Linked DNA regions of Saccharomyces cerevisiae S288C. The protein of the gene in region 2 interacts with the protein of the main gene of each other region in a pairwise test. Each region holds a gene or a part of one and is shown on either strand. Other genes may lie near its edges.

The links. Proteins that work in one complex are often made in the same cells at the same time.
Region 1: the proteins of FAR11 (region 2) and TPD3 interact in binary tests that used the Saccharomyces cerevisiae proteins (3 or more experiments, as listed by UniProt).

The regions. Positions count from the first base shown.
Region 1 is NC_001133.9:123,325-127,351, forward strand, and holds TPD3 (protein phosphatase 2A structural subunit TPD3), read left to right. Parts: upstream 1-1,554; coding exon 1,555-3,462; downstream 3,463-4,027. Other genes in the region: serine/threonine protein kinase PSK1, read left to right, coding at 1-971; bifunctional N-glycosylase/AP lyase NTG1, read right to left, coding at 3,579-4,027. UniProt on the Saccharomyces cerevisiae protein: Phosphatase 2A affects a variety of biological processes in the cell such as transcription, cell cycle progression and cellular morphogenesis, and provides an initial identification of critical substrates for this phosphatase.
Region 2 is NC_001146.8:381,941-387,354, reverse strand, and holds FAR11 (Far11p), read right to left. Parts: upstream 3,369-5,414; coding exon 507-3,368; downstream 1-506. Other genes in the region: SPC98 (Spc98p), read right to left, coding at 1-128; TEP1 (putative phosphatidylinositol-3,4,5-trisphosphate 3-phosphatase), read right to left, coding at 3,692-4,996; NRK1 (ribosylnicotinamide kinase), read right to left, coding at 5,153-5,414. UniProt on the Saccharomyces cerevisiae protein: Participates in the control of the reentry into the cell cycle following pheromone treatment.

The sequences.
Region 1 (4,027 bases), on a different chromosome or scaffold from region 2:
TTTCTCCACTTGAAGAGGAAAAGCTAATTGACGAAAACGCTACAGAAAACGGATTAGCGGGATCACCTAAAGACGAAGACGGAATCATAATGACTAACAAGCGAGGAAACCAACCTGTTAGTACTTTCCTACGCACCCCCGAAAAGAACATCGGTGCTCAAAAGCATGTTAAGAAGTTTTCGGACTTCGTAAGTCTGCAAAAAATGGGTGAAGGTGCATATGGTAAGGTCAACCTATGTATTCATAAGAAGAATAGGTATATTGTGGTGATTAAGATGATTTTTAAAGAAAGAATCCTTGTAGATACATGGGTTAGAGATAGGAAATTAGGCACTATACCTTCTGAGATCCAAATTATGGCCACGTTGAACAAAAAACCACATGAGAATATTTTACGGTTACTGGATTTTTTTGAAGACGACGATTACTATTATATCGAAACTCCCGTACATGGTGAAACAGGATGTATAGATCTTTTCGATCTAATTGAATTTAAAACCAACATGACCGAATTTGAAGCAAAATTGATATTCAAGCAGGTTGTAGCGGGAATAAAACATCTACACGACCAGGGTATTGTTCACAGAGATATCAAGGATGAGAATGTTATCGTAGATTCTAAAGGCTTTGTTAAGATTATTGATTTTGGATCTGCTGCGTATGTCAAAAGCGGACCATTTGATGTTTTTGTTGGGACAATAGATTATGCTGCCCCTGAAGTCTTAGGAGGAAACCCTTATGAGGGCCAACCACAGGATATTTGGGCTATTGGTATTCTATTGTATACGGTGGTCTTCAAAGAAAACCCCTTCTACAATATAGATGAAATATTAGAAGGCGACCTGAAATTCAATAATGCAGAGGAAGTTAGTGAAGATTGCATTGAGTTAATCAAGAGTATTTTGAACCGTTGCGTACCGAAGAGACCCACCATTGACGACATAAATAACGACAAATGGTTGGTTATTTGAAGGATTAATGATCATTCTAGGACATTAGTAATTGGAAAAGAAAATGCAAAAAAATATCCAGTAGAAACAATGCTTGGTATGTCGTTCTTCTTACTTTCTTCAGTAATGAGTTGGTAGTTTTCTCTATTTAAATATGAATAAATCAATATGTACTTTCTTTCTTTAATCAAAATGTTAATATGATAAAAATACAGCATCCAAAGCAGTTAATCAAGACTTAAATATAAAAAATTTACATATTTAGAAAACAAAGATAGGGTAAATATTGAAATTACATAGTAAACCATACCTTAAAAGCAGAAATACTGATACCACATGAACTATTGATCAATACTACTGCTATTCTCTTCCTAATGCAAAGAGCTTATTACCATTATTAAATCACTACAGACGATAATACCCGGAATGCCCTTTTTGCAGGGAAAGCGAAAAAGGTGAAAGAGTTAACAGGAGAAAGTGTTAGGGAACTAAGTTACGAAGGAAGGCAGATAGCAACAATACTAACGTGGAACTTATTTCGACGACTATAACAACTGGTATCTGATTATCGAAGAATAATTGAGTGGTCAGAAAGGAGCGAAATATGTCTGGAGCAAGATCAACAACGGCAGGTGCCGTGCCCTCGGCAGCAACAACATCAACAACATCAACAACGTCAAACTCTAAGGACTCAGACTCTAACGAGTCATTATATCCCTTGGCTCTGCTTATGGATGAGTTAAAACATGATGATATTGCTAATAGGGTAGAAGCCATGAAAAAACTAGATACCATCGCGTTGGCACTCGGTCCCGAAAGAACAAGAAACGAGTTGATTCCCTTTTTAACGGAAGTTGCACAAGATGATGAAGATGAGGTGTTTGCCGTTTTAGCCGAACAGTTAGGAAAATTTGTCCCCTACATTGGCGGTCCTCAATACGCCACAATCCTATTACCAGTTTTGGAAATTTTGGCATCTGCAGAAGAAACTTTGGTTAGAGAAAAGGCCGTAGATTCTCTGAATAACGTGGCCCAAGAACTTTCTCAAGAACAATTATTTAGTGACTTCGTCCCTTTAATTGAACATTTAGCTACTGCAGATTGGTTTTCTTCAAAAGTTTCTGCTTGTGGTCTTTTCAAGTCTGTTATTGTTAGAATCAAAGATGATTCATTGAGAAAGAATATCCTGGCTTTATACTTACAACTCGCTCAAGATGATACTCCAATGGTGAAAAGGGCCGTCGGTAAAAACCTGCCCATCTTGATCGATCTGTTGACTCAAAATTTGGGATTATCTACAGACGAAGATTGGGATTACATTTCTAACATTTTCCAGAAAATCATTAACGATAATCAAGATTCTGTCAAGTTTCTGGCAGTTGATTGTTTAATTTCCATCTTGAAATTTTTTAACGCTAAAGGTGATGAGTCTCACACTCAAGATTTATTGAACTCTGCTGTCAAATTAATTGGTGACGAAGCGTGGAGGGTACGTTACATGGCTGCCGATAGATTTTCAGATTTAGCCTCGCAATTCAGTTCCAACCAAGCATATATCGATGAATTAGTACAACCATTTTTGAACCTTTGTGAGGACAACGAGGGAGATGTTAGGGAAGCTGTGGCTAAACAAGTTTCTGGGTTTGCCAAGTTCCTAAATGATCCTTCAATTATATTGAATAAGATCTTACCTGCTGTGCAGAATTTGAGTATGGACGAAAGTGAAACAGTGAGATCTGCTTTGGCTTCTAAGATTACAAATATTGTATTACTGTTGAATAAAGATCAAGTCATTAACAATTTTCTTCCGATTTTACTGAATATGCTAAGAGATGAGTTCCCTGACGTTCGTTTAAATATCATTGCCAGCTTGAAGGTTGTCAATGACGTAATAGGAATTGAGCTGCTATCAGACTCTTTGTTACCTGCCATAACAGAATTAGCCAAGGACGTGAATTGGAGAGTTAGAATGGCTATAATTGAGTACATACCTATCTTGGCAGAACAATTAGGTATGCAATTTTTTGACCAACAGTTAAGCGATTTATGTCTTTCATGGTTGTGGGATACTGTTTATTCTATCAGAGAAGCCGCAGTGAATAATTTAAAAAGGTTAACGGAAATATTTGGCTCTGATTGGTGTCGTGATGAAATTATTTCAAGACTGCTCAAATTTGATCTACAATTACTGGAAAATTTTGTCTCGAGGTTCACAATACTCTCTGCTCTAACCACTTTGGTGCCCGTGGTATCGTTAGATGTCGTTACTGAGCAACTATTACCATTCATTTCTCACTTGGCTGATGACGGTGTTCCAAATATTAGGTTTAATGTGGCCAAATCCTACGCTGTGATAGTGAAGGTTTTAATTAAGGACGAGGCCAAATATGATGCATTAATTAAGAACACAATTTTACCCTCATTGCAAACGCTGTGTCAAGACGAAGATGTTGATGTAAAATACTTCGCTAAGAAAAGTTTGGCAGAATGTCAAGAACTTTTAAAAAATTGATACTAGTTCAAATATATACATACATACACATATGTACACTTGAATGAATAAAAAGTATACATATTAACAACTAGGCCTGCTTTCTTTTCTTTTCTTTTTTTTTTTTTTTACCACACTTAGTCCTCTACTTTAACAGAAATATCATTTTCCAGTTTGACCATAGTTTCTTCAACTGTTTTCTCCTCGTGTTTAACATTGATTTCCGCCTCCACGTTCAGTTCACGTTTTCCTTCCAGGTATTTCACCCACTTTGGATAACTCATGATATTTTGCTGGATTTCCTTGTACAATTGAGACTGCAAATCCCAATCTAAGGAGCTTCTGGGATCATCCGGTGGCAAGAATTGTAACATGTCACCAAGGTTCCTCGATTTAGTGATTATTTGTCCAAATCCAACCAGCAACCCATTTATTTCTGTCCAAAGCCCCTTAGGCAGCCAATTTTGTAATTGAGTTCTTGTCTGATCTGGAGTCTTGCATTTCTGCGCATCTACCCATTTCCAAAGCTTGGTCAATCTATCCACGTGAACGTCAACGCAGATACCTTCAATCTTGCCCCATGCCT
Region 2 (5,414 bases):
GTTGCCGATTTGGTGGATGATCGCAGTAAATTGACTACATCAGATACAAATGTCTGCAAATGACTCTGCGACAATAATTGAGGAGCCAATGCCTCTATTATACCAAAAAGAGTGGGCTCTAGTTCCATATTGATTTTTCAGCTACAACTGAAATAGACTGTAATATATATTATGGTTATGCTTAGTATTCTGGCTCTTCTATTTCTTATATGCAGATGAAGCCATCAAATGAGTATATTTGTTTGTTTTGTTTAGTTTTGTTTACAAACGCGACGCATCAAAAATCGTTACCCGTATATATTATGATAATAGAAATCCAACAACGGTTGTCCTAGTATCCCACTTGTGATATGAAGATCCAATCATCACCATTGCGCGATCAAATAAACACTATTTAAGGGGTTTTCATGCTCCTCCATTGAAAACTATATAAACATAGGGAGGGATAGGAGATTGTTAATGACAATAACATCGCGCCCCGAGCCTCGGTATCCGTAAGTAGAGATTTAAATATTCAAATACTCGGATTCCTTGTTTAACAGATCTTGGCTGGAACTATTACGGTGTCCATATCCAAGGTCCTCCATAGATATTTCATAGTGTTGAAAATTGTAAAATTGAAGCAAGGCCCGGAGTGCAATTTCTTGACCACAAGCATCGCTCAACTCTCCTGATATATCCTTCCCTGTTACCCAATTATCAGTTAACTCCAGCTTTTCATAAAGGTAAACCCCCGATATCAATTCCATATGCTCGGATTTCCACCTCTTGTTTTTGAATGGTGTGAGTTCTCTTGTTATTTTCAATATTGGATGATACATGTCAAGGTTGAAGAGCCGATAATAGCGTTTAAATAGAATGCCGATGGAGAGGGGCAGCTCCTTTAACCTTTGTGTTTTATTCCCTGTGACTTTTCTCAAGATTCTTAACAGATATGCAAACGAAGGCATAATCTCCGTGTCGACCTCTCCTGAGTCATCTACTGAATAGGATTCACGATAAGACTCGTTAGAGAGAGAACACTCCTTCCAAAATGAATTCGGGGTTTGTACATATTTATTGAAAACCCTCTCTGGATAAACCTCAGAATATTTGCTTAAAATAGATGCGCATGTGTTGATGTATCGCGAATCGTGAATAACTACCGCCAAGTGTTCAAATTTCAAAATATGGCTTAACTTAAACCACTTCAATAACGCATGTAATATGCCCGCTGCTGACTTTAGGGACAATTCCTTAGCTCTCACGATCTCCAATTGGGGTGTCAGCATATTTAGAAGATTTTTATCGGAGACTTCACTTTTCCTATGAAAGTTATTTGTCAAGCTTGATTCCATTGTTTGCAGTAAGACAAAAACAAGAGAGTTAAAGCTCGAAAGGCAGCTCTTATAATATTTGTCAATTCGCTGCATAATGCAAATCGCACTTTTTTCCTCTTTTGAAGAGTTTGCATCATGATTAAGCGCGGCATAATCATATGGCTCATTTTCTAATTGCTGTTTCCAACCACGTTCAGTTATCATGAATAAGTCCCTTTCGTACCAAAGTTGTTTTGTACTCAGCTTAATTTCTAAACTCTCGCTTAATATTCTCGCTGCCTCTTCGGTACTGAATGGAATAACTATATCGTTATCAGGTTTTCTCTCTATATTTAAATCTATCCTATCTTCCAGAGTGTCATCTTCAGATCCTTCATTATCAGATGGATACAAACACGGATATGCCATGTTTGTTTGGAAAGATTTACGAGGTCTAGGACCTTCACCTAAATGCATTAATTGTGGAGAGCTTGGCGGTGAAGGAGCAGGTGTAGCAATATGTTTTTCAGGAACAATGAGCGCCATATTTAGAGGATTCTTTGATTTTGGACGAGGAATTTCCAGAAACTGGGAAAGAGATTCTGATTTGTCAACATCTTTAGGTAAGCCAGAACTGGGCATATTGTAATCAGGAAAACGGGAAGTAATGTCCTCCCTGAATGCTTGATAATGTAATGGGGAGATAGAAAGCTTTTCTGGATGCTTTGATGGATATGTTAAGCCATGGAGATTATAAATAGATGATTTGGTCTGTTTGTAGACAGAACTGTCACCAAATTGTAATACAATAAGCTTGAAGAGCAAAGAAATCATATTTCTTATGCGCATAGCTAATCTGCTATTCCACCTCCAATTTTCAATATACTTTGTTAAAAATTCCAACAAATCTGTTTTCTCAAAAGCGTCGATAACAACATTTACTGCTTCCGGATTTTCTCCTCTACCTTCTATACAAATACTGCATATGAAGTATAGGATTGTTGACGAATGAAATAGCAAAATTGTTTGTTTCTTTAAATTTCTGTTGTCATCCCTACAACTTATTGCAATCTTCTTGAAGGCATGAACAATTTCTTGAATATGAGGAACAAGCATTAAATTGTTGCGTCGTATAATCTTTGTATGCTCACTTTTGCTATTCGTAAACGCAAAGCATCCCATAGAAATATATGATAATGCGAGTAAATTAGATGCTAAAGAATTGGGGATGTCTTCAATTAAACATTCAACTACGCTCGCAGCATAGTTTTCATCATCAAAGAATAATTGTGGTTGCGTAATTTTCTGTTTAAACAGAGTCTGTGTCTGTCCAAAATGCATATAATCAGAGCTGCAAAACCATTCCGACAGTTCATCTTCCAAAGAATAAAACATCTTCAATTCCCAGTCCACTGCTCTTTGTAAAGCATAAGGTGCACTTGATCTTTCCTCAAGTGAAGCTGCGCACTGGTCAAGTGATTTCTGAAATTCTTTATCTACCGGCATATTATAATCAACTTCGCCCTTTTCATTGATAGGAACATGCTTGCCATCAGAAACCTTATTCAAATCAAAGCCATCCAGTTCATCTACATTAGCAAATGATTCATCCTCATTCTCCTCTTCAGCTTCTTCAGCATCGTCTTGAAATTCAACGGCGTTATCAGTATTATTATCTTTCTCATTATTTCTATCCTTATTAACGCCATCATCACTGAACTTAAAATTATCATTTTCATCACTACTATCTTGCTGTATATCTATGGTACGAATATCTCCCTCAAGACCTGATCTTGCCTTGAAGGTTAAGGCACTGATATTTCCATCTGATTTATTTCTTTTATCGGCATGAAAACTGTTTCTTCCCATGTTCAGTTTACCGCGCAACATGTTGTCCAAATCTTTTAGCAGTTCTTCGTTGCTCAATGTTCCGACCTGTGGTTCTTTATGTGAAGTGACTTCATCTTTGTACTTTAGATTGCCTTTGAAACTAGAGTTTCTCTTAAGATCTTCTAAAGACACAGACCTTATAATGGGGCCTTTGGAATGAGATCTTCCACTAGCATTCATTTTAGCGAGGCTTATAAATGAAAATTTGTCACTTAACCTTCTTCTTCGGCTATAAATACTAATAAAATTTCTCTACAATGCCTTTCAACCTACTCCTTGGTTCTCATATATTTCTTCCTGTTTCTAGAATGGCGTTTTGATTCATATAATTGACCGCTCCAAAAAATACCTGCCAGTAAATTAAAGTACCATACAAGAATATTGAAGAAAAGGAAAAGAATACATAATATAGAAAAAAGCCTACCAAAACAAACCAATTCACAATAAATATAACACTTTTAACTAAGTTTAACGAATGAATGGATTTGACGAAATGCATAAACCTATATAATTTCCCATTCCAATTTCAGTGCCTGAAATAATTTCAAGCCGTGAGTGCTGAGCTCCCCAAAACCGTCCAGCTCTTGCCAGCTTATGGTTGTCCCAAGCATTTCGTCTCTCTTTAACCTCTCTACTTGAAAGTAATCTGGCGAAGAATCGTCTTTAATTATGTGCATCAAAGTCTCAAGGTATATATTCAGCCAACAGCTGGCGCATGAAGTCCAAGATATTATGCTACTGGCGGCTTTGGACTTGCTGGTCCCCAGGGTAAATTCTATACGACAATCATTTTCCAGTGTTAAGTAGTCCCTACCAAAAATGAAGGTCATATTACCACCGCATTCATGCGCCATGATATCTGAATATACTACTTTTCGGGTTAGGAGGGCATTTCTATCATCGTTGTAGTGTTGAATCTTAGTAGTTACAATAGCAGACTCGGAAGTGATTAAGCTTGATGGGCGGAGGAACGTCATTTTAGCAAGCCTGAATTTAAATTTGAATTTTACCGCCTCATTAGAAATTCCTTCTTGGGCTGCTTTTTCATGGGTAATAAAAAACTCATGGTACCTTAAGTATCTTAATTGAGAGGGTATGGTGACGCCATTCGTCATACCATACTTGAATCTAGCCTGCATGAATATCAATCTTGCTTCTCCAAGAGGACACTGCAAGTATTTCATGAGGTATGCTACTGTTATCATACCAGATCGGCCTTTCCCCATTCGACAATGTAAAACAGCCACTCTATTCTTCGAAACGGACAGGTAATTTTCTATACCATCTACAATCTCTTCCAGCAGTTCAAATGGCGGTGGAAAATGATCTAGCCAACCGATCCTTTCACAAATTACATTATTGGTTTCTTCTTCGACCAAGGTCCTTGTTTCGAGATCAATGGGTGATATTGGTATCTTTCCATCATTAATCAGCGTCGAACGTAATTCTTGAATTTCAAAATCTTTGCTCTCAAACTTGGCAGCGATACCAATAAGATCATTATCTTTATAATCGCTGTCTTCTTTCTCACCTCTAAAATTAAAAATTCTAAAATTTCCCTTGCCATGGTACACTGTTAGAAACAATATTAAGTCATCCAAGCTATTCCTATAAAGCAGTTTTGGATACGTGTTTACCGGGTATGAGCAGACTATTAGATTAACTAAAATATATGATATATCTAATCTCAAACCTATATCGTTTTTAGTTTTTTTCATTGGTAAAGACAATATTTTCTTCATCAAGTTGACTGGTTTCCATTTAAGGAAGCCTTTTTCCATTTCTAATTCACTCCCCTCCTCTCTCATTTACACCAAAAAAATAATTTCAAAAATCGGGATGGTGTTATCAATATTGTGGTTCTGAAATTGTCTTATTTAAGTTATCTATCGAGGTACACATTCTTATTTTTATTGTTTTTACTTTTTTTTTTTTATACTTCTCATCGATTTTGTGGCGCTTTCCTAATCCTTACAAAGCTTTAGAATCTCTTGGCACACCCAGCTTAAAGGTTTCGCAATTGGAGTGTCATCATCATTTATGAACTCTTTTATATTCTTTGACTTCCTTGGGTCTAGTAAACCTTCTACGTCTCCATTAACAAATAACTGCGCATGATTTGCACGATAAGATTCATACACAAATTCGTCGAAATAATACGGCGGATCCACCCAGAAAGAATCCAAAGTCTGGTATCCTTTTCTGGAAGCCCTCCTTTTTTTTAGT